Cricetulus griseus: one gene and its partners. The protein of the gene in region 3 purifies or fractionates together with the protein of the main gene of each other region. This does not show direct contact. Links are inferred from orthologs where the notes say so. Each region holds a gene or a part of one and is shown on either strand. Other genes may lie near its edges.

Region 1 (10,252 bases), about 350 Mb from region 3:
ATGATTACTTTCTTTCAGAGAAGAGCTGAACTTTTAACAAACGTTTCCCATAAAAAAGGGACTGGCAGGCAAGGCATGGTGACACCATACCTTTAATCCCAACACCTGGGAGCTCTGAGTTCCAGGCCAGGCTGAACTACATATCGAGACCTTGACCCAAAAACCAAAAATTTAAGGTGGGGGGGCAGTAAGACAGCCTTGTAGTTAAAGGTGCTTCCCTGGAATCTGTTGTTTAAAAAAAAAAAAAAAAAAAGGAGAATCAACTCCAAAAAAATGTCCTCTGACTTCCAACTAACCTCCTCTCTTTCTTCACATTCCTCCCTCCTGCCTCCTTTCTCAAGAGTGGGTCTGAGGCTACAAGCTCAGGGCTATGCATTTGCCTAGCACTGGGCCCTGAATACTCAACAGAAAAGCATTTGGTTTTGTTGAGGGTTTCTCTGTGTATCCCTGGCTGTCCCGGAACTCACTCTGTAGACAAGGCCGACTTCTGCTCAGTTCTGGGATTAGAGATATGAGCCACTACATGTCTGACTGAGCATCTGATTTTAATCACAGGACTTAATATCAAATGTAAGGCATTTTTGGCTGTGGAAGATCACATTGCCAGTTATCAGCTAAATGATTTATTCCTTCCTCTTAGCATTAGACATTCAAATCACCCAGAGAAAGGACACAAGCTACAACTACAAATGACCTTGACTAACAAAACACATTTACAAAGCACAGGAGGGAAATGATGGATTTGTGGTGGAAAGGTGACTCTGAAGCTGAGAAAGACGGGTGAAAATTCTACAGTCCTGCTGAACAATCTGTGTGAGGCCTCTTTAGCAATCTGGATCTATTTCAAGTCAACTAGATCCTATTTCCCAGGATAAACAACTGACTTCACCATGGAAATCATGAGAACAAGGTGTTCAGAAAACTCCAGAAGTCTATGAAGTGGAGGAGTGGATGAAGACTTTTAAAATATAACAAAGCCCCATAGGCATGGTTGTGAATTCTGGATTAAATCTAACATATTCCTCACAAAGTCCTGAATATCATGGGATACAAGTAATTCTTTTTCTTATCTAAAGTTTTGAGAATTCCATAAAATAATTAATTAATTAATTTGGTCTCTCTGTGTAACAGTCCTGGCTGTCCTGGAACTCACTTTGTAGACCAGGCTGGTCTCAAACTCACAGAGATAAGCCTGCCACTGCTCCCAAGTTCTGGGGTTAAAGGTGTGTGCCACCACCGTCTGGCCTAACCAAAAACTCTTAAATCTTAAGTCTGCTTAAGCAGGAAAGAGAGATGTAACATGTTCAAGAAAGTTAGTGAAGTAGAAATGTGCGCCTGATACTATATTCTCAATTCAATCAAGTAATAGTTTGTGCATTAGCGACTACAAATGGCCAGTTACATCAAATGTAGCTTATTCTTCATTTAAGAACTTCAAAGACATCTTTGTCAGACAAAAACAAACAAACAAAAAATCCCACAAAACCAAAAAAAGCAAAAACCAACCAACCAAACAACCCCCAACACACCTAAAATCTTATGTGAGTAGATGACTGAGAAATCATGTCTTAATTATATGAAAAAAAAAAAAGGAGAAATAAAGTAGTTTCAATGAACACATTTACATTTTTGGGTAAAAATGCACAATATTCAAATTACAGTTCTGGATAGATACTAAATCTAGTTTGTTTCTTTTTCCTTTCATTTATTGTTTGTGGGTCATGTGCAAGGATGTTGTCAAAGAACAACTTACTCAAGTTGGTCTCTTCTACAATGTGGGTTTAGGGAACAAACTCAGTAACATGTGAGGACAAGTGCTTGAGGAGCCTGCATTTGTTTTTATTTTGTTATATTCTATTTTATTTTGTTTTTTCAGACAGGGTCTCACCATGAGCCCTGGCTGTTTTGGATTTCACTACATACACCAGGCTGGCCTTGAACTCACAGAAACCAACCTGTGGGCTTCAGCATTCCTAGTGCTTGGCCATTCATTTGTTTTTAAATCAGCAATATAAATAACTTAGGTCACGGTAAACACCTGAACACATGCCAGCAATATTCAGTACCATTTGCTGCTGTTTGATGTTTCAGGTTATGAATTGCATTGACTTAACACTTTAAATAAAACAGCCCTCACCAAAACACCTTATTTTCTAATTAACAAGGAATTCCTCAAATTATAAACCAAATCCACTTACTGGGTTTCATGGCATTGGGAGCGCTGGCAGGTGTGTTTCCCCAGCCTGTGGTCGATGCTCCAGAATCATCCATTTCACCCCACCCAGGACTGCTTTCATTTGGCTCACCCCAGGCTGAAGTTCCATTATCTGGAGCAGGTGGTGTGCTTTTGCTCCAGACTGGGAAAAAAAAGAAAGAAAGAAAGAAAGAAAAGCATGTCTCTAAGGATCCATTGAACATTTAACATCCAGTGGAATTAAAGGGGAAAGACACAATTATACTATCTTGGCAGAAACAAATTCAACCTTCATGGAGGGCATCTGGCAAGGTGACTTTTCAAAGGTCTAATGTACATGACTTCTGAAATTCCACTGCCAGGAAATTTTACTTTAGATATATGTAGTAAAGTGATGAAATTATATGTACAAAAATTGAAGCATTTTAAATATTAGAAGATAGGTTACATCAAGTGTGGGTAAAGTGCAACTTAAGTATCTACCAGAGGGATAAATATTGGGCCCATAAAATGAACATTATATATGAAACAATTAAGAGAAAGAACTATTGTGTGCTACAAAAAGCTTAAACATAGGACATAAATAAGGGATACTGCCTGCCTACCCAGGGAAAGGTCCTGGGATCCAGTCTCAGAATTCCTGTCTTTACCCCAAAAAGTCCACAAAAAAAAAGCAAGATGAACACTAAAGAAATATAACCCCCCCATAAAAATAAATAAATAAATAAAGCTTAGGTATATTTGTAATAGATAAGAGCAAGATTTATGAATGAAACAAATTCTAAGAGATTATGGTGAGAAACCCAAGAGGCTAAGATTCTCTCATTTATTGTATTTCGCTTTTCTGTGCAGTTTGAAGAGTTTTATTTCAAAGCATTAGCAAGTGTGATTCTAGATAAGAAGTTAAAGAGTAGTCTCTATTTCTGTCCTCATTTTTTTTTTAGTTTTTTTTTTTTAAAGGAGCTAGTTAAAAACAGTCACTTTGCATGATAATTAGTGTTCCTAATTACATTTACTTAAAAACTAGATTCACTTTGAATACTGGGAAACTTCACATTATGATTAATTTTAACTAAAACCATAAAACAACCCTGAAAGGTGCATTTTCTAAATTGGTGAGTTTTTTTTTTTTTTTAAATAGATCTTTATTTATTTATTATATATACAGTGTTCTGTCTGCATGTATGTCTGCACACCAGAAGAGGGCACCAGATCTTGTCATAGATGGTTGTGAGCCACCATGTGGTTGCTGGGAATTGAACTCAGGTCCTTTGGAAGAGCAGCCAGTGCTCTTAACCTCTGAGCCATCTCTCCAGCCCCGATTGGTGAGTTTTTACAGGGACATTCGAGCCAACCTGAGAATAGAATTAAGAGCTGTTGGAACAGTTTAATATCTGACTGTCCTAAGATCATCTTTTAAGTATATTCCTTTCTACAGCCAACCATTCAGTCACTGGATGGAACTGGGAATACAGAATGCTTACTCAGCATACACAAGTCTCTGTGTTTGAGCACCAAAACACAGAGAGCATCAATAAATTTGGAGACCCCCCAACTGTCCAACTGTCCAGACACCAGCTGTGATACAGCATTGTGATGGCTTCTGAAAAAACACCAGAGTGTTCTCCTTTGCTGGGGGAAAAGCACAGAGGGTGGGTTCACAGGTAGAGCCAGGAGGGAAAGAAAGTAGATCTCTTTCTTCTTTAGTTCTTAAACTAGTAGTAGTTTGTTTGGCAAGAATAAGCTGTATGGTGGTTGCTTTTTTAAAATTATACAGACCAATACAATTGCAAAAAAATAATTCTGGGAACCTAGCCAGGTGCAAGACTTTAATTTCAGCACTTGGGAGGCAGATGCAGGGAGATCTGCCAGCTTGGTCTATAGAGTTAGTTCCAAATCAGCCAAGCTACACAGAGAAACCCTGTCTTGGACAAACCATTAATAATAATAATTACTCTAGGGACCAAGAGTATTGTCATCTTTTCCTTGTAACAAGAATGACCACTGTAATGTACTAGAGCAGATGCCATCTCTAGTGCTCTATGGAAAGAGGTTATCAGAGCAACAAAGCTAGAACTGGAGGAACTATCCTCAGATAGGATTTCTTTTCTTTCTTTTTAAAGATTTATTTTTACTTACTACATAGTAAGTAAATGTTCTGCATACAATGTTCTGCCTACACGTATGCGAGAAGAGGCCACCAGATCTCATAACGGATGGTTGTGAGCCACCATATAGTTGCTGGGAATTGAACTCAGGACCTCTGGAAGAACAGTCAGTGCTCTTAACCTCTGAGCCATCTCTCCAGCCCAGGATTTCTTTTACTAAAGCCTATGAAAAAAGAGTGGGTGGGTGCCTACCTGATGCTGATTTTCCGGCCATTGGGGTAGGCAGGTTTGGTTCTCGAGGCGGTGGGCCCCCTTGGGAATTTTTATCCCATAGATTCACATTCTTGTAGTTATAACTGTTAGGGTCTCCCCAAGCTGAAGTGCCATCATCGATGTCCATTTTTCTACTAATTGACTGTGGGGATGGCTCCTCCCAACCACTGGGTTCATCATCCTTAGGGGTTGTAGGCTGGGGCCCACTGCTCCAGTTGGAATTAGAAGGTCGAACATTGCCTGGAGGTGGAGGGGGTGGGCCTCCCCATGAACCAGAAGCCTCGGGCTGTGGTGGTGGTGGTGGCTGTTGCTGCTGTTGGTGTTGTTTATTCCAGGAATTGGGCTGTCTGCCTGTCTCATTCCATGCAGGAGATCTTTTGCAATCTTCCCACCCACCTTTTGAAGCTAGGTTTGCATTCCCACCATTACCCCAAGTTCCAATTTCATTCTGCCCTCCTTCACCCCACCCAGACACAGGCTTATTTGCAGAACTTTCCCAATTGTTATTTTTTACTTGCTCAACCTCCTCACCCCAACCATTCTTCCCAGAAGTCCATCCTTGGTTGGGCTGGCGCCCACCTCCCCACCCCTGATCCTTGCAGGAACTCTCATTCCAAGAGGAAGGTGTCTTTTCATCTGCTCGTCCTCCCCAGTTAGAAGAGTTGTTGTTCTTATAGTCATTCCAGCCTCCTGTGCTCTTGGGGTCCTTCCACTCTGTCGAGGCTGAGAGCTCCCCCCATCCAGACTTCATTTGATTGCTTTGGCTAGGTGCATCTCCCCAGCCCCCTGAGTTCTTGGTCTGTGTGGCAGCGCTCTCCCACCCCTCAGTTCCTTTGTCAGATTTCCCCTCAGGCCTTGGCACCTCTTCAATATCCCACACTGTGTCCTGCTTAATTTGAGTTTGGCCCCAGCCAGTGTTTGAGAGCACCCTGGGGTCCAAATCAGTTCGGCTCAAAAGAGTCTGCAAGACAGCCTGGCAATCAGGATGTGTGGGCCTGTATGACCGACGGCCAGAATTATGACTGTCACTACTTCCTGCTTTGTGGTTGCTTCCAGTGCTTTGACCTCCAACTTCACTTCCTGCGGAGCTGGAAGACCTTCCCCAACAGGGAGCCTGGGCATTGCCTTGGTTTTCAGGGAGGGGGTGGCCCTTTTGATTGTCCCATGCTCCAGTGCTAGAATTTGGTTGGTTTGGACCACTCCATTCTCCAATTTTCAACTCATCAGACCCAGTCGGCTGTTTCCATTCTCCCTGAGAGACCCCAGATGTCATTTTGTTCCCTTCACCCCATTTGTTGTCATTAGAATCCTGAGGGCCAAAGTTCCAGGACCCACCCGTAGACCTGTTATTGTTGTCCCAAGAGTCATTTTTTGACCCAGTTGATTTTGGAACAGGAGCTCCTTTCCAGGAGTCTTCTCTGTCTTTTCCATTGTTCCCATTATTTCCAGAATTGCTTTGTCCAGAGACTGTGTCAGTTCCAGAAGGCCCCCGAGCTGCACCCCAAGACCCAACACTCCCAGTCTTTCGATCTCCAGTGCTTTGTGAAGGGGCATCAGTGCTCCTGGAGGTGTTCCCCAAGCCCATCCCAAAGGGTATTCCCTTATTTTCCATGGGGTTTGGTGAACTTAAGTTCAAGGAGTTAGTGTTTCCATTTTTTGGTCCATCAGTGTTATGAATTTGAGCCTGTTCTCTGCCAGAGACAACAAAATTAACACCCGCATTTTCCATTTTTGACTGCTGTTCCCTGGATGCCTGACCTACTGTGCTTACTTGTGCACCGGAATTACTATTCTCTGTTTCCAACACCCCTTTCCTAGAAGTTCCTTCTTGGACCAATGCTGGCCAGGCAGATGGGTTGCTATTTGGGTTAAAGTTGCTGAAGCCAGAGCCAGGTCCAATTCTATCTTGACCACTCACATTCCTCCAATTTCCTAGTCCACTGCTGCTGTCTGAAGTAGAGTTGGAAGATTGAACAGATTTAGCCTTAGGGTCAGACTTCCAGACCCCAAGATTACATTCGTTCCCGGAATTTGCAGACTGGCACTGGCTCCCTTTTCCTTTGTTGCTAGTGGTGCTTCCTGGCAGAGTGCTCTTCTCAGAGCCAGGGTTCGAGGCACTGTTGTTATCGGTGGTGTTTTCGGAAGAAGATTCAGTGTCTTTGCTGGCAATGCAAGGCCACTCTTCCATGTCAGACCCGTCTACAATCACCTTGTCCCAGATGTGAATTGGGTTGGGGGAGGCGCCGTTGTTGGAGGAGGCTCCCGGGCCCCAAGTGGAATTTGCATAATTTGAAGCAGCAGCACCTCCAAGGGTTGACTCTGGAAAAGAGATCATCTGTTAGCCATAGCTGCACATACATTGTCATCTATACCTGGAGTTCTGACTGCCCCAGCGGATCTACCTGGTCCATCTTCCTGTGGGAATTTTTTTTTTTTTTTTTTTTTTTTAGAGACAGGGTTTCTCTGTGGCTTTGGAGGCTGTCCTGAAACTAGCTCTTGTAGACCAGGCTGGTCTCGAACTCACAGAGATCCACCTGCCTCTGCCTCCCGAGTGCTGGGATTAAAGGCGTGCACCACCAACGCCCGGCTTCCTGTGGGATTTTAACTCAGTGCCTAGGGTCACTTCTCTCTCTCTCTCTCTCTCTCTCTCTCTCTCTCTCTCTCTCTGTGTGTGTGTGTGTGTATGTATGTATGTGTGTGTTCGAGTGGGCATAATATGTGAGCATGCCATGGTACCAATTTGGAGATCAGAGGACAATTAGCTGGGGTTGGTTTTCTCCTTATACCATGGGGGTCCTAGGGACTGAACTCAGGTCATCGGGTCATTATATGCTGAGTTATGAGAACATGCTGGAGTTTCCTTTGTCATTGGCTACTGTTGTATGTACTAAGTCCATACCAGCTTTCTTTCTTTTTTGTTTTTCGGGACAGGGTTTCTTTGTGTAACAGCCCTAACTGTTCTGAAACTAGCTCTGTAGACTAGGCTGGCCTGGAATTTACAGAGGTAGGAGCTACTGCCTCCCGAGTGCTGGGATTAAAGACTTGTGCCATCACTGCCTGGCTCCAGACCAGCTTTCAAAGTTACCTACTTGCCACTCCTGCTGACACAGAAGGACCTTCTTGTATCCTGAGAAAATGCAATAGACTTTAAACGTGCTACATTTCTTCAAGCTAGTCTAACACTTGTGGCTAGAGTGGTTTTCCTAAAATACCCTTTTGGTTCTATCATTGTTCTGAGAGTTTTCAAGAATTCCTTAATACACAGAAAAGCAAAACCCCTAGGTTGGCTTTACCAAGATGTTCTAATGCCAACCAGTCTTCCCGGTGCATCCTATACAATTTTCCACAAAGATGCCTACAGTCCATAAACACACCTTTTGACCCTTGGCACCACTCTAGGCTTGGATCTACTGTTTTTTCCTCCCAAATCCAATGAGATTTATTCATCTTTATGGACATATTTCAAGTGTCACTTCATCTATGGATCCACTTCTGGGCTTGTCACCTGAAAAATCATTTTTCTCCAACAAGATCCATTCTCCTCAGTATGGTAACCCTCTGTTCACATCCTTCCTTTCTCACACTGATCTTTTCATTAGAGCCTATCTTGCTAACATGTGAATTCCACACAATGGCCTGCCTGTGCATTCTGCTCTATAAGCCTCTGCTGAATGACTGTCCCCGAGTTAGCTGCCAAAATACAGGAGTATGGATCATATTGGTACAAACTCCTAAAGAGATTAATCTGATAAATCAGTACGGTTCAGTACATATTTCAGTAGAATGTACCATTCTTAGTGGTGGTGGTGGTGGGCTAATAATGTTTTTAGTGATTTTTTTTCTAAACTAATTTCTCCATTAACCAAGCAGTTTTCAGTTAATATGAGTTAAAAATAACATTACATAAAATAGGGGGCTGGAGAGATGGCTCAGAGGTTAAGAGCACGGGCTACTTTTCCGGAATTCATGAGTTCAATTCCCAGCAACCATATAGTAACTCACAACCATCCATAATGAGATCTGGTGCTCTCTTCTGATCTGTAGGCAAATATGCACGTAGAACAATGTTACATAGCAAATAAAATCTTAATATATATATTAATTAGCCGGGTGGTGGTGGTACATGTCTTTGATCCCAGGACTCAGGAGGCAGAAGCAGGTGGATCTCTGAGTTTGAGACTGGGTTGGTCTACAAAGCAAATTTCAGGACAGCCAGTGCTAGAGAAACCCTGTCAATATATACATATGAGAAAGCACAGAGTCTTAACACCTTGAGACTGGATGCTTAATGATATTCAAAGTCTATTTTTTTCTTCAAAATGTATTTGTAGAATTATCTTTATTTATTTATTTGTATGTGTGCTATGACACACATATGGAGGTGAGAAGCCAACTTTTGGAAATCAGTTCTTTCTACTACATGGATGGAGCCTGAAGATGGAACTCAGGCCACTGAGCTTGGTGGCAACCACTTTACCTGCTGAGCTCTCTCTGTCTAGTTCAAGATTTAAAATTTAATATAATATAAAAAGGCACATTAATTTTTTTAAAGGGAATGGAAACTCTTTGCTATTTATTTATGTAACTCATTAAAAACTCTTGGTGGCACACACTTTCATGAAGCTGAGACAGGAGGATTGTGAGTCTGACACCAACCTGGGCTATATCAAGAGATCCTGTTTCAAAAGACAGAAAGAACTCTCATGTTTATATTACAGTGCCTTAACAAAGCTCAAAATCCAGGGTTCTGCTGGGCAGTGGTGGCACACGCCTCCCAGCACTTGGGAGGTAGAGGCAGGCGGATCTCTGTGAGTTCAAGGTCAGCCTGCTCTACAGAGTGAATTCCAGGACAAGGCTCTAAAGCTACAGAGAAACCCTGTCTCAAAAAACCAAACCAAACAAACAAACCAACAAATAAATAAATAAAAATCCAGGGCTATAAAACTAAACACTGATTTAAAAGAAGAAGAAGAAGAAGAAAAAAACCCAGTTAAAAAACTACTGAATGGTATTATCTGGTGTTCTCTCCAGATTCTATACAACTATGTGATCATTCTGGAAACTTAAGATTCTAGAAGATTTAGAAAAATCCCTATGTAAGTCTCACTTCCTGAACACAGCTGATGAACCACAGAACCTAGGAGGTAAAGGATGCTATTATTAGCGTTTCATGTCAAGACACCATAACACAGCTTCAGAGAACTGCTTGTGCATACTTTATGCTGGGATCCTCTCCCATCTTCTGCACAGTACTCTCTATATTAGCAATGATTTTAGTGGAATTGCTGTCAGGAAATAAACAAGGAAAATGTTCTCTCTCCCTTTGAAGCTGGCCCCTAGAGTCTTACCTGGTGCAGTCCCACTTTCGTTCTGCAGCAGCGTTCCTGTCACTTGTGCGTTGCTGTTTGGGTTTGCTCCAGGTGCTGTGCAGGGAGGAGGCCCTGCCCCACCCCCGAGGAGCATGCAGGACGGCGGAGGGGGCTGCCCACGTTTTAGTAACACTTTGTGGTCCTGCTGGCAACGGAATCGCGGTGGCACCTCCCGAGGCATGTAGCGGGCGGCGCTTGGCGGTTGTCCGTTCGGCACTGCCACCCTTTTGGCATTGTTGCCACCATTGACTGGTGGCGATGGAGAGCTGCCAATTGGGCTGGCGGCCGTTGGTTGGCTTAAACTTGGT
Region 2 (10,352 bases), on a different chromosome or scaffold from region 3:
TCAAAAAACCAAAAGAAAAAAAAGTCCACTGAATAATAATAGCCCCCCAACTAAAAAATGATAACTGATCAATAGGAAGATGGACAAGAAGCTGTGGTATATCTATTCAATGGAATAGTACCCACAAAAAGAAACAAATTTGGTAATTCAACAATATAAATGAATCTTAGATTTGTTCAGCTAGAGAAGCCAGAGAGAAAAGGGTATATACTATGTGGTTCCATTTATTTGCTCTTTTAGAACGAGTGTGCTGACTTCCAGTGATATAAACTGGAGACGTAGTTTTAGGGGACTGGTATAGGGGAGAGGATTGTGGAAAGTGACTGAGAGGAGGCATAAGGGGATATTCTTGAGTGATAGAACTCATTTATATTGATTGTGGTTGTGGTTACATGAATTTATTTGTCATAATGCATAAGGTTTTTCACTTTAAATGGGTGGATCATGTTTAGTGTAAAGTATAGCATCGTAAGGAAAAAGAAGAAAGAAAGGGGTTGAGAAAGGAACCCTGGAATTTTCAGGGTGTGCTAGGGAGTGTCAGTGAGAAAAGAGAGGAAGAAAAAACTAAGAAGATATTTTCAAAATAAAATGTCCTGCAGTTGTGTTGAAAGACGGAGGTGGTGGTGGGGGGTCATGGTGGTGGTTATGTTAAAACTAATTTTTAGTTGGAACATCTTAGGTACTGATCCTCTTGTTATTGGTCCGTCACTTGGCCCCATTACAAGAGGCTTACCCTGTTTTCCCCTCCCATCTTGATGATTTCATCATTGGAGTATCAGGCTTCCTCAGAGTGCACTCCTTGGCTTTTTTATGATATCGTAGCAATGTTTGCTAATGAAGTGTATAACTGGGGTCCACATCTTCAGCTTCAGTGAGCTACATATAGAAAATATTTATGACAACATTGCATCAGTGCTGGGTGCCCACAGACTTTTGGTCATTATTTACTTAGTAATACAGTTTAGTAACTGTGGACATTTACTTTTTTACTGGGTATTATAAATACTTCAAAGGTGATTTAAAGTTCATAAGGAATCCAGGCATGGTGGAACATGCCTTGAATCTCAGCTCCCAGGAAGCAGAGGCAGGAGGATCTTGGTGAGTTGGAGGCTAGCCTTGTCTACATAGTGAGACCCTAAAAAGCAAAATCAAACTATTTAAGCGAATTTATTTTTTGTTTGCTCAGAAGTTGTCTATTCTAGAGCAATGGTGTGTGCAGTGTAATTTCAGTTTTAGAGGTGTAATTGACTAGACCCTGCTATGTTAGTCTTTGTGTGGGACATAGTTCCTACATGGAGTCTTCGGAGCATTTGCACACAGAGTGACATTTCATTTCCTTTCAGTTACTCTGTTTCTCTTTTACAACATTGTATGTATACATATATGTATATATTTAAATGATTATATTTAGTAGACTGATTATATACAGTAGATTAAATTACCTATGATCAGCATTTTATAAAGCATTTATCATCAGATAGGATGCAAGGTCTAATATAGTTGAGGTCTGCAATATAGTGGTTAAGAGGGGGCTTTGGAGCCAAACTTAATATATATAATATATATATATAATTTATATATATAAAATCTTAATCATCCATTACTTACATGATTTTGGGAAAGTTTATCATGCCTGTTGGCCAAGGGGGTGTAATACTCCTACTTCATTAGGCTGTACGAAGACAACAATTAGTGACTAATTAGTATTTGTAAAGTACTTAGAACAGTTTGGGATAGCATACATTAAGTACTGAAGAAATTATAATGAAGTGATATAAATATACTCTTACCAGGAAAGTTTATCCATGTTCATGCATCCAAGTTCTTTCTATTTATTACTGTGGAGCCTTTCTAAATTTAAAAACATTATTGGGGATCTAGCTCAGTGGTATTATTGCTACTTAGTGTATATTTTTGCTATGTTCAGCATTGCAAAAAGTAATTTATGTGTATAAATGTTTTGTCTGTGAAGAAGGCCAGAAGAGGATATTGGGTATCCTGGAACTGTAACTACAGACAGTTGTGAACCACCATGTGGGTGCTGGGAGCTGAACTTGGGAAGAGCACCAAGTGCTCTTAACTATTGATCTGTTTCTGCAGCCCCCATTGTGGTTTTTGATAAAGAGGTAAAATTAATCCTTATCTGCCAAATAAATAATTTGTGAGTTATTAGTCTAGTCAATTAGCCTTCTCAGTAAGGCAAGGAAGAGAAATTGGAGAAAATTCATGTTGAAGCAACCACAGGAACTGAACAGAAACTAAAGCAAATATATACAGGAAAGGCCCTGTCTTAGTTTGCTTTCTATTACTGTGATGAACACCGTAATGACAAGCAACTTGGGGAGGAGAGGGTTTATTTCAGCTTACAGTTTATAGTCCACCATATAGGGAAGTCAGAACAGGAACTCAAGGCAGGAACATGGAGGCAGGAACTGAAGCAGAGACATAGAAGAGTACTGCTTACTGGCTTGCTCCCATGGCTTGTAACCTACACTCCCCGCTCCCTCCACACAGGGTTTCTCTGAATAATAGCCCTGGCTGTCCAGGAACTCACTTTGTAGATCAGGCTGGCCTCGAACTCAGAGTTCTTCCTGCCTCTGCCTCCCAAGTGCTGGGGTTAAAGGTGTGTTACAACCCCCCAACCCTGCCCCAGCTTATATTTTTATATAACCTGGGATAGCCTGCCCAGGGGTGGTACCACCAGCAGTGAGCTGAGCCCCTCCATATCAATCATTAATCAAGAAAATGCCTATAGGAAATGCCTACAGAAAATTAAAAAAAAAAAAAGGAAAAAAAGAAAGAAAATGCCTACAGACCTGCCTACAGGCAATTTGATGGGGGCATTTTCTCTGTTGGTGCTCCTCTTCCCAGAAGACTCTAGCTTGTATCAGTTTAACAAAGGAACTAACCAGGATAAGACCTACTTAAATTTGAAGCTGGGGATATATAGTAGAATACTAACATTCAGGACACAGAGACAGGCAGATCTCTGTGAGTTTGAGGCCAGTGTGGCCTACATAGAGAGTTCTAGGTAGCCAGGCTACATCTCCAAATAATAATAATAATAATAATAATATAATATGTAAAAATTACTTCACTTTATATTTTGTAAATTTTTTTCAAAAATGTTCATAGGCTCATAAAATTAAAAATGCTAAAAGAAGAAAATTGTATACCAGTAATTAACATTTTGACATTTTGGTTCATATTTTAATTCCTTCCTGGGCATTCACTTATTCATAGCTTATTATAATACACACTTCTCTCAGAGCAGAATTAGTCACATAGCTTATATCACGAGAGAGACTGGAGCAGTTCTACGCTAGTAGAGGGACTTAGGATAGAAAAGAGCAAAAGGAAGTAATCTGCAGAGTGAGTTTTCTGAGAAAGTAAAAGGGAACATTAAGTAAAGGAGAAATTTGCAGACTATGTGAAGCTCTGTATATATATGTGCATTATAATTATGTCCTTAGTGTATTATAATGCTTCATCTACCTGCAGGTATGTATCTTATTGTATTTACATTCAGGTATGTGTCTACACTATAATTTTTTTTTACAATTATTATGATTGCATCTTCTTGTGTTATATTGCTGCATCTTATTGTATCTATATGTAGATTTATATACTTTACAGGTATTTATCTTACAGTACCCGCAATTGGATGTTCACGTATTTTTCTGAGAACTAGTCTGGTATCTGCCTTTTCATTCTTTTATTGTAACGAAGTCCCTAGGCCGGTATTTCCCACTCCATCTTTTCATGCTCTTGCCAGTGGCTGCTTTTAATGCCATCTCATATCGTTGGACTTTGCAGTCGGTTACAATTTTCAACCTTTCCCAGTGCCTTGAGTTATTAATCTTGATGATGAAATACTTAAAAAATGATACCCAAAATGATTATTTCTTGAGCAGAAATTGAGTGAAAGTGGAATTGCTGAGTCAAGGGTGTGTAAAATTTTGAGGCATAAAATCGTACTGAAACCGCACAGCCGGCCTCAGGTATGCATTCTTCACCTGAGGAGGCCAGGCACAAGCAGAGAGGTTAAATAATCTGGCTCAAGGTCAAAAGTAATTAGATGTGGGTGAATTTAAAAACGGCGCGGGCTCCTCCGGCAGCGGCAAGGGTGGAATTTGCGGTTTGGTGGATTTTTTTTTTTTTCAAGGCGTGTTTCTGTGAGGGAGGGGCCGGGCAGAGGGGAAGGAAACTTGTGTCGCAGTAAAGGAGGAGGAGGGGGGGACCGGAGTCAAACCCAGGCCCGCCTAGGCGACAAAGGTCTGCGCTCGCCAGGCCCGGAAGACGCTCGCGGGGAGCCTCGGAGTTCCCCGACAGCTCCGGCGAGGTCCCGGCCGTGCCGGGCGGTTGCCAAGCGTCGGCCCTGTCCAGCAGGCCTAGTTGCTAGGGCCTCCATCTTGGGGGCCCCAGGGCTACCGCGCCCCCGGAAGGGGTTGCGAGTGGGGCATTCACTTCCGGTCTGGGGCCTGCGGCAGCAGCGGTGGCGGCGGCGGCGGCGGCAGCGGGTCGGTGTAGAAAATGGCGCTGGTGCAGCGGCTCGGGCCTGTCCCCGCGGCGCTGCGGAGGGCCTGAGGCTCGCGAGCCTCGTTCCCCGCGCCCCACGCGCTCGTGCACTTTACACACATGAGGTGAGCGGACCGGAGGGGAGTCTCGCTCGGGGCCGGGAGGCAGCCGGAGGCGCTGCCGCAGGACCCGTCGGGCTGCGGGGCGGCGGCACGGGGCAGCCCCCGGGAGCGCGGGCCTGGGTGGGAGGCCACGGGAGGCCCGGGAAGCTTCGGCCCCGCGCGGGCTGCGGCTCTGGGCTCGACCGTCCTGGGCTCGGAGGCCCGCAGCGCTGCAGCCCGCAGCCCCGCCCCTCCCCCACCGCGCGGGCGCTCTGCCGCAGAAGCTCGGTTTTCACGCGCATCCCCTCCCCCCGTTTTTTTTTTTTGTTTGTTTTTGTTTTTGTTTCCTATTTCAGAGAATTGGAAGCTAAAGCTACCAAAGACGTAGAGAGAAATCTTAGCAGGTAAGATGGGCGAGCCTTCAGTCTCCCGCCCCCTTTATAATCGTGTGTTTCCACTCTGCTTCGCCCTTCCTGGGTTTACAGACCTCTTCCCCCCCACCTCCCCCCACCCCATCCCGTGTCATTTGCTTTCGCACGCAGGGAACAGACATTCGGTAGAAACGGCCTCAGGGAATATTTGCATGGGGGGGGGGCATTGCAGGGGAGACGCGTAATTACGAGTGTGTTCGTTCTTAAAAAGAAAAGCAAAAGGCAGTTCTTGTAAACTTAGTTAAAGCATTCTCACCCTTTTAGAATTTAATTAGGGGACTTGTGCATTAATTACTATTGTAAATGGTTGCAGGCATTGTGTGACTCATGATTGAGGCGGCCCTTATGGCGGGCTGTCAAACTGTTTTGGCTTCCCCGTTATTACTTTGTAGCTAAATTGTTGCCTTTATAAAAAGATACTATGTGCTCGCATTTTTTGCTCTCTGTCTCTGCACATTGTAGTCAGGCGGATTCTGTTGCATTGGAAACAGTTTTGTCCTTGAACTTCATCAAGCATAAACTGCGTTTTGTTGTCCTTTGAAACATTTTAGTCTGTGTTCGGTGTGTGTTCTTTTTATCAGCTGGGAAAGTAATTAAAAATTGTTTTCAGTAAGTGATGATCACTTCTGTTGGGCCTGAGTGCTTTTGCACTGGTACCTGAAGCCTCAAATACTATCTCCAAGACAAGGGTTGTTTCTTGTCCCCCACCCCGAAGTGATGCATTTCTGGAAAACGTTTAGTTTTATTGAGCTGTAATTGCTTCAACATCAGGGAATCGCACGATACTTAAAGCCTTTTTCAGATCCATTTTAAAACAGGCTTTTTCTTTTCTATTCACTTTTTTTGCATCATTTTTGAACTCACAGAAACTTCGAGATTAAACAGCTTCATTTGTTTTAGGTCTTAATCTGGCTTATGCTTGTTTATTGGAAGTTCTAGGCTTATGTTGTGGTTATTAACACACTTGTAATTGCACAAATACTTTTTACCATGTAGAATTGTTCCAAATTTCTAGCTCTTTGAATTTATGTTAATCTGTTGGGGTGACTGTTAAAGAATCTGTTCTGTTGGCAAAGGAACAGTATTGGCTTATCCAGTGAGAGGTTTTTTGGAACTCTAAATAATTATGGAATCATTTAAAGGGACATTAAAGCTGCTATCGGTGACTAAATAACTGTCAGCTGGATGCTTAAACAAGTTATGTTGTCAAAAACTGGGAAAGAAATAAGATACAGAGCCAAACAAAATAGATTGAATTATTAAGGTGTGATTTTAATAACAGTGTAGGTTTTGGATCTTTTTCTCCTTCTGGTTTTGTTTTGTCAGGCATCCACATAGGTCTTGTGTCCATGAGGGTACCTAAAACTTAGGTGAATATTGAAATACAAGCATAATTTTCACTTCGTTATGATTGGGCAGAACTTGGAATCTCTGCTATTGGCCTGTTGGCCTTGTATCAGAATTTGAATTCCAGCCCTGCCATTTAAAATGACCTTGACTCTTGGCAAGTCATTTGGCCTTTCTGTGTCTAATCTATGAAATGAGAGGCTTGGTCCATCCAGTTACTAAGGTCTGTTAGGCCCCTTGGGTTACATAAAAAGGAATCCAGTGCTGTCAGTGTCCAAAGAGGGCATGTACAATCTGGTAGGGAAACTATATAATATGTACATAAATAATGGTAATTCAGGGTAGTTGGTGTAGGAGTCAAAAGGGGATGGCATTCCACTCATGTGCTTGAGGCACTTCAGTTGATTATAGATATGAAAAAGAAAAATAATGTGATTTTAAAACAGAGTGTCAGTAAGAAGGGACCAGTTAAGGTACTTTGAGTAGGGAGACAGGTGATTAGATTAGATGGGCACATGCTCCTTTTTTTCCCCAAGAAAAAAAAGTATCAGTCTTTGCCCATTAGTACCCTGCTCAGGAAGTCATGGCAGGTAGTATTCACCCTAGTAAACTCTGAGCATTTTCTAGGAACCAGTGAGGGGAATGTACCAACTGTTCATCATCTGCCTGCTGTACCCATCCAAAGACTTTGCATGCCTCTTCACCCTTGAGAGGTTGGGTAAATTAGGTGTTCTTAGCTGTACATATAAGAGTTTGAGGTAGAAAGAGGTTAAGTAACTACAGGAGGTCTTACCACTAGTCACTGCAAGAATCATCAGCCTTCATGCTGAAGGTAAGGCGCTTCCCTCTGAAAAATTGGGATTTTTTTTTTAAAAGTAGAACCCATAACTGCATGCAATATGTTTATCTTGGAATTTCTCACTATGGACCCTTCTTATATTTTGTACCAGCTAATTAATTATTTGAGGACTGTCCTTTGTAGTGTAAGATGTCCAGCATCTACCAGGAGTACTCCCTACTCTGTAATGATCAGAGTGTCTTCAGATTCTGACAAAGATCCATAGAAATGGAAGGTGGGGATGGGGGGGTGGGCATCAATGTTTGGAGATCTTGGTTCAGGTTTTGAACATGAAAAGTCCCAAGTATATAAATGGTGCATTCATATAAGCATCTTTTTTGTATGATGGAAGCTCAGTAAACCTAGTATGTGTGTCTCCAGGGTGGAAGCTCTGTTCCGTGTGTGTGTCAGGGTTATGTTGTCATTCTGCTTTCCTGGGATAAGTGGCAAATCCTAACCAAGACATGCCAGGTGTTCAGTGGCAGTTAAGCAAAAAATGGCACAAGGAATAAATTTAGATCATTAGGTTAGCTAGTTTTTAAAATTCATTTTTGGTTTTGAGAATTGTCTTACTCTGTCAGTACCATGTGCATTCAAAAGAGGGAGCTGTAATGTCTAGACAAGGGTGACTACTACTAGAGTGGGATTTAGGAATCAAATCCATTTTGGCCTGCAGAGAGGATATTAGAACAGTAGATGTGAAGACTCGGAATCCAGTAAGCACACAGGAATTTGGTCTAGTAGAAATAGCAACCAGCTAATCAAACTGTCTTAAGGCATGTGATGTGGAGGGCTTTGAATGTCAGGCTGAGGACTTCTACATAATCTTTAGATGGTCTAAGGGGCCACTGCCTACCTTCTGATAGGATACCAATGTTATAGGAAACTCTTCCAGCCGGGGAATTGTGATCAGGTATGATTATGGGCAGTAGTTCTCTAGGTAAGAGTTGATGAAGATCTGCATGTAAGTTGTGGTAGAGAGAGATGAGAGGATGAGATACCAAGGAAGTGGAACCTGGGATTTCAAAGTAGGTTAGTTGTGAGGGGAATTCTCCATTTAGGGTAAATGAGAGATTGATCCAGCCTCCAAGTGAAATAGAAATTTATGTGAGGAGAAACAATGGTAAGTTATAATCACCAGTTTAGAGGGGAAACAAATCCTCCATTAATTAATACAACTCAGTTGATGCAAGACAATTTAAAAAGTTTTTTGTTGTTGTTTTTGGTTTTTTTTGGGGTGTGTGTGTGTGTGTGTGTGTATGGGTGTTTTGCTTGCATGGATGTCTGCACACATTGATCCCTGGTACCCATGGAAACCAGAAGAGGTAATCGGATCCCCTGAAAATGATGTTAGAAATGGTTGTGAGCTGCTGTGTGGGTGCTGGGAATCAAACCTGGGTCCTCTAGAAAAGTAGCCGGTACTCTTAAATACTGAGCTATCTATTCTTCCAGTCCCCAACAGTTGTAATTTTGAAAGTATATTTGGAGGCTACAGTTACAGAGTTAGTGAATATTCAGAGCTGGATCTTAAGGTATCAGCTGGTATCTGTTACTTTTCAAGTGAGAAAATTCTGATTGAGAGACAGTCTCCAATGACAGAGCTGGGCTTCTAACAGGCCTTCTCACTCCATTCTAGTATTTTCACTGAACATTAGATAAAATATACATTTCTGCTTTTTGGACAGAAAAAACCTCAAAACATTTATCTCAGTGTATCTCATGCCCATTCTAGTGGTTTCTGTAATTTATGTGTATTGTGTAAGTAGAAGTTAACATAATTTGTGAATGTGATCCCTGCTTCCAAACCAACCATGAACAGCCATTGTATAGCAAATATTAAAGGTGCCATAAACCACATAGCGTCTGACCTGGGACACTTTCAGTTGAACCATGAATATCTGGAACAGATGCTATGTCACAGAGCCCAAGACAACACGACTAAGCCAGGGTATACCTCTCTCTAGAGGTTATCTATTGTTGCCACTGATTTTTCCATTGTTTAGGTGAAAAATCATTCTGGTTTAGTTAGGCTTTTCTGTTGCTTGCTCTGATGTGGATGGTAGGCTAGGCCTCTTTCTAGCTTAATTTGGAGATTACGTGGTAAACTAGTTGCTGGAATAAATGAATACAGATGGTGGGCTTAGCTTAAAACTGAAAATTTGCACATGAACATCATAAAAAGAATAGTTTATAATGTCTTTTGAATTTTGGTATGTCAAATATGTCTGAAAGTATAATTTGAAAGGCATAAAGTCTTTTACAATTTCATTTTATGACAACCCCAAAGTATTGCCCATGATTGGAAATAGTAAAATGGCATGTGTTACATGCATTTCATTCAGGCTGGACTAATCTTCTCCAAATGGAATAAAGTCCACCTAGTTTTCATTAAAGAAGTCATTTGAGGACTAGAGAGATGACTAGGCAATTAAGAGCTCTTGTTGCTCTCCCAGAAGATCCAAATTCCATTCAAGTTCAGTTCTTAGAACCTGAGTTGGCTTACTCACAATCACTTGTAACTCCAGCTCTGGGGGATCTGCTAGCCTCTTCTAGATTCCATAGATAATTGCACATACACACATAATTAAAAATAAAGTTAATCTTAGCAAAAAGTCATTTGTAACCTTAAGCAAAGTACCAAAACTAGGGTAGCAGATACTTCCACTTTTCATAATTATTTTGTCATTACACTCTATCCCCAAAATACAGCATTATGTCTTATACATTAAAGAGGATCTTGTACATAACAGTCAAATGATCAAACATAGAATGTTTAACTTTATACTATAGTTTGGTTCATATTCACTTATTTTCAATTGTCATGGAGGATTTTTCTTTCCACCAATTTTTAAAATTATTTTATTTAAATAACATTTGTTGTTGTTAATTTTACATACTGACCACAGTTTCCGCCTCCCTCTTCTCCCGATCTCCTATTTTCCACGATTTCTTGATCCAGGGTAGCATTAGCTGTTTTGTCTCTGAAGCTACCTTGCTACCCTTTTTGTGACAGTGCAATTTTTTGACTAGTTGTTTTGCATAATTCAGATTGGGTTTGTCTGATCTCTTCTGAACAATCAGATAGAGGTTAAATCTTCTTGGCTGAAGTGTCCCATC
Region 3 (10,352 bases):
ATTTTACCACAGCCCTCTCTTTGTCTCCTTTCCCCTTATTCTCTCCCTTTCTTCTTTCTTCCTTCTCCCTCTTGACTTCTATTCCCCCTCTCAAAACATCTATTAACCTTCATCGGGAAAGGATTTTGTAGACAGAGGCTGCAGATACTTATCTAACCAATCTTCCTCTAATGAGAATATCAAGTGAACACTGGCCTAAAAAATAAGCATCTTTTCTATTATGAATAGGCACTGAGCAAAGTAGGTTGTGGTTACAATGGAAAGTTACAAGTTCTCTTGCTGAAGTGACATTTTACTGAAAACAGACAATTCGATAAAAAGGAAAAGCTTTGAAATACTTGTCTGCTCTGTTCTAACATCACTTAAGCAAATATCTTCATGAAATTTGTATTGACAAATCATCATACACTAATATAATAGTTAAAGTACTAAAAAATCTCTTCATATTATTCAATTTATTGTTCATTTTCCTCCTAAATTCAAAACTTCAAGATGTAGCTCAGATGCAACTTTCTAAGAAAGATCCATCCCCTCTATACACAAGACCCTGTATGCAGGGTAGGACTTAGCTCAAGTATAAGAAATCACTTGTGGACTAGCAAGATGGCACAGGAGGTAAAGGCATTTTACTGCCCAACTTGAGTTGATCCCTAAGATCTCATGGTGAAAAGTGTGATGAACTGACTTATGCGTGTGCTAGCACATCACACACACACACACACACACACACACACCCATAATTTTAAGAGGAGTAAGTTAAATTATCCTGTCTTCTATAGTAGACTCATAAATTCTTAGAACTAGAATTCCCATTTATGGTTCCCACAACACCTAACTCATCACCCAGCGAGCTGTATGAATTCAGTAAGCATGGAAGAGCATCATTAGTTCCGGGTAAAAGCAAAACAGAAACCTAAACATTAATGTGCAAAATGTGACAGCTACTTTTCAATACATAACATATGACAAGTATTATTGTGATGCACATAGGTCTATTCTGGGTGTGATAAGGCAATTACCAATCAACCCAATTAAATCATATAGACAAATCAGCCTTGCAAAAAATACACTTAAAGAATCATCATAGCATAAAATCAGAAGGAATCTGGGGTTTTTGTTTGTTTTGGGGGGGTTGTTTGTTTGGGTTTTTTGTTTTGTCTTGTTTTTTTGTTTGTTTTGTTTTGTTTTGTTTTTTGAGACAGGGTTTCTCTGTGTAGCTTTGGAGCCTATCCTGGCACTCGCTCTGTAGTCCAGGCTGGCCTGGAACTCACAGAGGTCCGCCTGCCTCTGCCTCCCAAGTGCTGGGATTAAAGGCGTGAGCCACCAACACTCAGCTAGAAATCTGTTTTTATAAGAGAAATTTGGAATCAGAAACTTTGATCAAATGTGTAGCCTATGAATCTGATTTTTAATAATGATTGAATCAAGGCCTCTCATTTCTTCCCCAGATTTCACAGGTTTTTGGTTATCTATATTTCTCTAAAGTACTTAATGGTAAAGGGATAGGCAGAGAGACTGAAACAAAAGAGATTCAATAGAAGATTGGGATTAAACTCATTGGTACAGGATGCCCCTACAGGTAGAAGATGAGCCCCTGGCCCGATTCTTAGCATCAAGAAAAGGAAAAAAAAAAAAGTAGAATAAAATATTTTATGTCCCCTTTTCTTTTTTTTGAAATTTATTTTTATCTTGTATGTATGGGTGTTTTGCCAGCATGGGGCATCAGGTCCCCTTGGAAATAGAGTTAGAGACAACTGTTAGCCTCATGTGGGTGCTGGAGATTGAACCCAGATCCTCTGGAAGAGTAGTCAGTGCTCTTCACCACTAAGCCATCTCTTTGGCCCTGTGTCACTTTTTTTTTGGACAAAATAAAAGTTTAGGTAAGTGTGTAACACAAATAATAAAAGACCCCAAGACTGGTATTGGGGTTCAACCTAAAGATCAGGGAAGCAAAGCAGCCAACTACCAGCTCTTAGCACTAGCTCAGGCTGAAAGGGTTGATCCATGCACAACCCTTCACCAAGTCTCAATCTGCTGCCTCTCCTCAGTGCGGCTGGACAATGAATGCCTCATACTGAGACCTTGCTTCGGTCTTAGATACTTCCCTAATATTGGGATTAAAGGTGTGAGCTATAATTCTCTTTTAGACTGACTCACTTTGTGTAGACGTGGGCGGCCTTGGATTTACAGAGATCTGTCTACCTCTTATTCATGAGTCCTAGGATTAAAGGTGTGCACCACTACCTTCTAGCTTCTGGCTGCTGGAATTAAATGTGTCTATTGCCACTACCTGATCATCATAGCTTGAGGCTGACTTTGCTTTTCTGAGTCCTCAGTCAAGCTTTTATAAATCATACATAATATATCACTACATGAATGACCACTTCTTTTAACAAGCTTAGATTCATTTAGAAATTATACTCTAAAAATTTCATTCCAAAAGCTAATTTCTTTGAGTTGGGTAAACTATTTAGTAAAACAATAAAGCATGGTGGCAAAGCATCAGGAACCAAAACACCTGTGTTTGGGTTTGGTTCTGGTTTTACCACTCCCTAACTCTCTATCTCAGCTTCCTTTTCTATAAAACATGGGTTTGTGGTAATACCATCTATCTCCCAATACTATAGTGAGGATTCCAGGAGATGATGTAAAAGGCTTAACACAGTGCTTTGTAACAGTTATGTAACCAATAAGTGTTAGCTAGTATAATGACACCTGAATAAAAGTTATAGTTGATGCACAGATATTCTGGTTTTAAATTGGTGGCATCCCTACAACTTTTGACAGTCCAAAAAAATTACATTTTCTGAAAACAAAACATTCAAGATTTAACTTGGTATGGATGAGATCATCCTTAAAGAAAGAGGTGTTAAAGTAGGAATGACACACCCCACACTCTAGTCCTCATTTCCCCAAGGAGCTCTGAGTCTCGAGGAAGTAAGTCATTTGAACTCACTTTGAACCTCATTTTTTTCATCTGTAAAATGAGTATAGATTCCTGCCTTGTTTACTTCCCAAAGGATCAAATGAGCTAATAGGCTTTGTTTGTTTGTTTGTTTGTTTGTCTGAATTGTGAGGGATTTCTTTTTGTTGTTATTTTTGTTTTGATAGGGACTTATTCAGTAGCGTAGGCTTTGGAATCATAGTAATCTCCCAGATTCAGCCTTCCAAGTGCTGGGATTACAATTATAAGCCACCTGGTCTGGTTCAAATGAACTCATAATTATTATTTTCTTTTTTAAAATTATTTTTATGTGTTTGTTTTTCCTGAATGTATGTCTGTGTACTACATACATGCACTGCCCACAAAGGCTAGAAGAGGGTGTCGGGTTTCCTGGAACTGGAGTTACAATTTCAAGCCACCATGTGGGTGCTGGGAATCAAACCCTGGTCCTCTGGAAGAGCACCAAGTACCCTTAACCCAGCCCATATAAAAGTATTTTATAAACTATAAAGCACCTCAAAGGTCTGGGGGACTGAAGTTCAGTGGTAGGGCAGTTGTCTATCATTTACAGGGCCCTGAGCTCCATCCCAAGCACAGCAAAACAAGCAAATAAACAAGCAAGCAACTATAAAAAAAAAACATGCAAAAATTAAGGTTATAATCACTATAACCAAAATGAATGATAAAGGTCATTTAATTTTCTAAGTTACTGACAGAAGATGAGCCTGGGTAGTGACAGAAAGGTAAACAGGACTAAGAGGCCTTCAGGGATTGTTCAAGTGAAGAAGACCCAAACACACAGCTGGGGGTGGTGGTGGTGGTGGTGGTGACACACACCTTTAATCCCAGCACTTGGGAGGCAGAGGCAGGAGGATCTCTGTGAGTTCAAGGTCAGCCTGGTCTACAGAGTGAGTTCTAGAACAGCCAGAGCTGTTATACAGAGAAACCCTATCTCGAAACCCCCCCTCAAAAAAAAAAAAAAAAACCAAAACCAAAAACAGATTCAACACACTAAACCTAGGCATGCTGTAATGTAAGTAAAAGTACTTCTTAAGTTCTAGAACAGCCTGGAAGCAACATCCCAAAAGACTCATCTGATCCTTCTCTTCCGAGTCCATGTTCAACAAGCAATTGTTATTACTTGTTGTTAACTAGGTTTCCAAGGTAGTCAAACGCCAAAACAAGAATCTGCTATACAGAACACAGGAAAATATTACTCAGCAGAAAGGATCTATATAAAATTTTGGCTTAATCATTGGCATCTTTTAAGTAGGATTAACGAACATTTGTTCTCTACAAACTGAGCAGTTCTAAGAAAACTTCCAAGTCCTCAGACCAGCAAAAACTAAAATCAAACCAAAGAGGTGGGTAGCTGGTTTCCTCGGCAGTTCCTTACATCACCATGTAGATTCTTTTCACCACACTGAACTTGCACACATAGTTACATAGTCTCTATGTCAGCTAATAACTGCAACAGTTGCTTCTATTGTAAGTTACTCATGGGGAGGAAGAGAAGAAACATTTGTTGAACATCTGTACTAGTCTTGACTAGAAGACTTCCCCCAAACATCTCATTTCATTCTCACATCAGTCTTAGAGCACACACTAGTCTTGTTTTATAGAAGAGGAAATTGAGGTTCAATGGAATTAAATTGTGGGGCAATGGGGACAATACAAGTATGAAATTACTATATTAGATTTGAATGGAATTTTTATATAGTACTAAAGCCATGAGCATGTTTTTATCTAGCAGAACAGATTTGAAGTAACTTAGCATAACATGTTGGGGTTTATCAGCTATATAAATATAACCAACCAATGTGGCATTTTCTTTTGGACAGAGTCTAGTTAGCCAAAGCTGCCTTCCAACTCTGGCTCTTTTTTTCCTCGGCCTCCCAAATGCTGAGATAAGAAGTATGCAACATCACAGCAGGTTCAAATCTGTTTGTTTACAGTCGGTCTCAAGTAGCCCAGGCTGACCTCAAACTCACTTTGTAACTGAGGCTAGCCTTGAACTCCTGATCTTCCTGCCTCCACCACCCAACCGTTAGGATTATAAGCCACCATGCCCAGCTAATCGACTCATTTTCAAAAGGCCTATGAAATTTGAATATGCGGGCCTTTAATTTTTTTTAAGCTTTAAACAGCAAATGAAGATAGAGTTTAGTTACTCAGTTATGTAAACATGTTCCAAGCAGACAAACCTGCAATGTTTCCAAATTCAAATAAAAAACCCTAATTTTCTATGTGCTTAAAAAGCATACAACTAAGTCCACTATATGGACAAAGTTTGAATATGAAAATTAATTCCATCACTGCCCCTAAACCTTGCCCTACTTAGCCAAGTCCGTAGCAACCTTTTGGGGCTTGAGACAGGAGCACTGGGCTCCAACTGCATAGCGTTCCTGCTAGTCTGGAATACTTCCTTGGGTTGGGGCAGAAAGGGAGATAACCATCCATACCGGCAACGAATCACAGCTTTAAAAACATTTTCTCGTTTGATCCTCACAACCACTCATAACCCAAAGAAAAGAGAATGGAGGACATTGATGCCTGTGTTGGGGAGTTCTGGCTGGCAATTCCCCTGTCGTTCGTTCAAGGTCTAGCCCACAACACTCTGAGACTGACAAACTGACAGATACCAAACTTCAGGGCCTTTGGCTTTCCGGGGTTGGGGGTGAATGGGGTCTCTCTTCTTCATCTGAGGACCAGACACCAGTGTAAAAAAAAAAAAAAAAAAAAAAAAAGGTGGGGGGAATCCGGCCCCACCCCAAGAACCAAGAACAGCCTTGGTAGAAGGTAGAGGCCTTCCAGGTTTGGGCCAGGCCTCCGAGAGCACCAGACACAGGTCCCTTCTGAGGCCCCAGCTAGCCTCACGGCGGCGGCGACCGTGGACAGAGCTCTCCTGAGGTCGGGTCGGGTCGGGTCGGCCCTACCTCAGGGGACTCGGGCCACCTCCTGAGCCTCCCTCCCTTAGATCTCCTCGAGGGGGGTCTAGAAGAGACCCAGAGTCTTCAGCTGGGGCGCGGTCCCCGCCCCCCGGGGACCAGGGCGCGGGGCCCCTTCCTTCCCGGGGCCTGGCAACCCGCATCCGGGTCCGCGCGAGCGGCGGCGGGACAGCGACAGTCCCTTCCGCCGGTCCGTCCGCCCTCCCGAGTCCCGGGTCCGGGTCTGGGTCCGGCCCCGGCCTGAGCGCGCTCCTCACCGGGTCCCAGCGCCTCCATGGCGGCGACGGGGCCGCCTCGCTCCGGTCCCCGGCGCCTCCCGCTCCGGGCCCCGCCGCCGCCGCCGCCGCCGCCGCGTAACGCTTGCTCTCCGGAATATTGGCGCTGAAGCGGCGCCGCGAAGACGCGGGCGCTGGGCAGGGGGCGGCGGCGGCGCCCGGCCGGGGGACAGGGACCCGGCTCTCAGGCTCTTCCGCCTCAACAACAAAACAATCCGCCGCCGCGCCGCCGCCGCGCGCCAGGGAGCGGGGCGGAGGCGGCGGCGCCGCGGCGGCGGGCGCGGGGAGGGGGCGCCGGGTGCGCGCACCCGGGGTCCCGGCCGGCGAAGGGGGCGTGCGCGGCCCCGCAACGCGCGGGGTCCAGCGAGCCGGCCGGGGGCAGGGGGCGGGGATGCGGAGGGCACGGGCGCGCGCCCTGAGAGCCGAGCCCAGAGGACGCGTCGGGAGCGCTCCCGCTCGCCCGCCTGCCCGCCAGTCGCGCGGCGGATCCTCCTCAGGCGGCGATGTTCCTCAGAGCCGCGGGATTCTAGTCCTCGCTGACCCTCAGGCAACAGTCCTCCTCTTGGTCCTGAGTCTCGCCTCAGCCACCCCCCCCCCGCCCGCACCACCACAGAGGGCCTCTTCGCTCTCACCCCTGCCGCCCTTCATTCATTCCTTCACCCAACACCACATACAGGTCCACTCACCTTCGTTCCCTGTGCAGGGAAAAGCAGTTAGTTCTGTTCTGGGTCCCAGGACTGGTCAGCCTGTCACCAAGTCTTCTCAGCAGCCCCCTCCTAGGCAGCATGTATCCCAGCAGGTCCAGTGTCCTTAAGGTTTCCAGTCAGGGCTTCCAATTAAGACGGGACCATAGGGTGTCTAGTCAACTGAATAGGGCAACAGCGGTCTACTAGTGTGAAAGGCACGACACCCTTGATCTAGTCTGTAAGGACCGCCACTGAGTACCACAGACTGTGTAGCTTGATACAACGGAAATGCACTTTCGGTTCTGGAGACTGAAATTCTGATAGGATCAAGGCACGGGTAGCCGGGGTTTCTTCTGAGATTTTTTCCTTTGGTTGTAGATGTTTGTCTTCCTGTGTTATCACCCGGCCTCCCCTTTTTATCTTCTATTTTTAGATTTATTTTTATTTTATGTGTATATGTGCTGTGCCGGTGTGTGTGTATTTGTGCGTTGGGGGACTAGAAGATGGCATCGGATCCCCTGGAACTGGAGTTACAGATAGTATAAGCTGTGATAGGAATCGAACCTGGGGCCTCTGCAAGAGTAACAAGCACTCTTAACCACTAAACTATCTCTACAGCCCCTAACCTCTTCTTAGGAGGAAGATGGCCCAGGGGGTGAAGGCACTTTAGAACCTGACAATCTGAATTCCATCCCCAAGGCCAACACTGTGGAAGAGATAACTGACTTTTGAAAGTTGTCTTCTGACCTCCATGTGAGTGCCACGGATACACCCCATATAAATAAATAAATAAATAAATAAATAAATAAATGCTTTAAATATAGTTTGTGAAACAAAACCAGATCCTGAGTGGTTGAGCACTTGAGGCATGGAGGCAGGAGGAGGGAGAATTCAAGGCCTGCCTTTGCTACCAAAGAATTCAAGGCCAGCAGGTGCTTTAAGAGACATTGTCTCCAAAAATAAAGCAAAAAACAAGTCAGATATTAACTTAAATAACAACAATGGGGTAGGGGCAGAAAATTGGAGGAGAAAATAGTCACATACAAAAAAAAATGTGAGCTAGGGAGATAGTTCAGTCGGTCAGAGTACTTGCTTTCTAACCATGATCAGAGTTCAATCCAAGTTAAAAGAAGCAGCAGTCATAGGAAGCCAGGCATGATGGTCCACACTTGTAATCCCAACACTGGGAAAGCAAAGATAGGTACATCACTGGAGCTCACTGGCCAGCAACTTAGTCAACTTGGAGAGCTCCAGGCCTTTGGGAGACACAAACAAACAGGGTAACTCCTGAGGAAGATGCCTGAGCTGCTACACACACACAAATAAATAAATAAGAAAGACTGGTGAACAACTAAAAGAAAAAGAAAAAAGTAGCTAGAAGCTCGAGGTGTTTTGTTTGGGTTGGATTTTGTTGTTGCCGTTTTGAGACAATGTCTCTAGGTCCCAGGCTGACCTAGAACTTACTGTGTCACCAAGGATGACTTCAAACTACTGATCCTTCCACCCCCAATTCTCAAGTGCTGATGTTATAGGCATTTTTCACCATGCCTAGCATGAAGCTCAAGTTTTATTGTTTTTTTAAAAAAGACTTTTGTTTTTAATTATGGGGATGTGTATGTGTTTGAGTGTGGGGCACAGGGAGACCAGAAAAGTGCCCCTGGTTCTGTGGAGCTAGAGTGTTGTGGAATATTTAGTTAACTATGCAAAGATGTATTGCATTTGTTTAACTATGTAAAATGGATTGCTGCTTTACCTTGCCTGCCTAAGGTACCTGGTTGGTCTTATAAAAAGCTGATCTGCCAATAGGAAGGGAGGAGGTAGAGGGAGAGAGTAAGTAGGAAGAGGAGTTTAGGTTTGAAAAGGAAAAGAAAGAAAAAGAGATGCCAGGGAGACAACAGGGGCCAGCTAGACACGGAGGAAGTAGGGAAAGTAGGACATAGGAAAGAAAGGTAAAAAGCCCTGGGGGCAAAACATAGATGAATAGAAACACCTTAAATTAAGTTAAAAGAGCTAGTGGGACAAGCCTACACTAAGGACGAGTATTCATAATTAATAATAAGTCTCTGTGTCTTTTATTTGGGTGCCCAAAGAAAATTCCAACTACACGAGAGTTAATTGATGAACACCACCAGTGCTGGGAACTGAACTCGGTCCTCCAAAAGAGTAGTGTACGTTTTTGTTTTTCTTTTTCGAGACAGAGCTTCTCTGTGTAACCTGGGAATCACTCTGTAGACCAGGCTGGTCTTGAACTTAGAGATCCACCTGCTCTGTCCCCTGAGTGCTGGGATTAAAGGTGTGTGCCACTATCACCCAGCTAACATACACTCTTAATGTTTGAGTCATCTCTAGCAAACCTGGCAGCCGACCTCCCTTCCCCACCTCACAGCATTTCCTCATACTATTTAAGCAATGTCAGAGGAGCTGGGGTTGAAGCTTATTTGGAGAGGCCTTGTCTACCATGCAAGAAGAAGTCCTGGGTTCAATCTCCAGCACTGCATAAACTGGACTGGGTGGCATATGCCTGAAATCCTAGCACTTAGGAGGTGGAGGCAGGAGGATTAGAAGTTCAAATTCACCCTCACCTGCACAGTGAGTAAAAGGCTAACCTGAGCTATATGAGACCCTGTTTCAAAACAAAACTATTTAAACAATGCTGGCCTGGTTTGAGGCAGGCTTTCCCAACCCTACCTCTTAACAAAATCTCTCATTCTCTAGGCACCCTGACTATAGCTTATTCTCTGCATTAAAAAAAAAATAGTGTTTTCATTAACTCAGAAACTGGAGCATTAAATGTACAGTTCCAGTCAGGACTGCAGGGTTGTACCCCCTCAAATATCCCAACCCTGCTACTCGATGATCTCTGTTTCATTCTCAGACTCACTCCCTCTGAGGCACCCTTTACCGTCTTCCTAGTAACCTTCCTAGTTAGTAAATACTACTGGGCCTCAGTTCAGGAAGCCTACCCTCTGCTTCCTGCTGTGGCTGAAAAGCCATGCCTCAATACCACTTCCCCTTCAGATCTCTCTGCCAGTGACTGCTCACCTGCACCCCCTACCCACCATACCTCACACTTCCAGGAAGTGAATGAGTAGAGAATGTGCCTCTATTGCCAACATTTGAATTTTTTTTTTCCTATTAAGTTCTCTTGACCCCTGGCCGCCACTCTAGGGTCTCCTTTGATGATGTAATCAACTCATCTCCAAGCCGGGCTCCCTCCCCACTGCTCTATGAATTCTTGAGAGCAGCCTGAGGCTTGATTCAGGTATTCAGATCTGTGTCTCTGTTTCTTAACAACCTTCCAGGTACCAAATGCCTTTAGGAGTGGAGCTTATGGAATGAACGAATGGGAGTAAAAAGGGGAATGAGTAAATGGTGGGAGCTAGAAATGGTATAGTGTTGGAGTCAGAATCTTGATGAAACTCTCTGGGCAAAGTGCCGGATTCTCCAGGTACAGATGGGTTTTTTTTTTTTGTTTTTTGTTTTTTGTTTTTTGTTTTTT

Evidence for each region.
Region 1: the proteins of protein argonaute-4 (region 3) and Tnrc6b purify together in Homo sapiens (co-immunoprecipitation; 3 studies listed by BioGRID and IntAct, with this or other methods). This does not show direct contact. The link is inferred for Cricetulus griseus from reciprocal best matches to the Homo sapiens genes AGO4 and TNRC6B.
Region 2: the proteins of protein argonaute-4 (region 3) and Tnrc6a purify together in Homo sapiens (co-immunoprecipitation; 4 studies listed by BioGRID and IntAct, with this or other methods). This does not show direct contact. The link is inferred for Cricetulus griseus from reciprocal best matches to the Homo sapiens genes AGO4 and TNRC6A.

What each region holds. Positions count from the first base shown.
Region 1 is NC_048595.1:378,031,975-378,042,226, reverse strand, and holds part of Tnrc6b (trinucleotide repeat-containing gene 6B protein), read right to left. Parts: coding exon 9,924-10,252; intron 6,895-9,923; coding exon 4,555-6,894; intron 2,358-4,554; coding exon 2,199-2,357; intron 1-2,198.
Region 2 is NC_048596.1:77,592,868-77,603,219, reverse strand, and holds the start of Tnrc6a (trinucleotide repeat-containing gene 6A protein), read left to right. Parts: upstream 1-4,296; 5' UTR 4,297-4,638; coding exon 4,639-4,643; intron 4,644-4,975; coding exon 4,976-5,023; intron 5,024-10,352.
Region 3 is NC_048595.1:26,501,758-26,512,109, reverse strand, and holds the start of protein argonaute-4, read right to left. Parts: upstream 6,342-10,352; 5' UTR 6,169-6,341; coding exon 6,150-6,168; intron 1-6,149.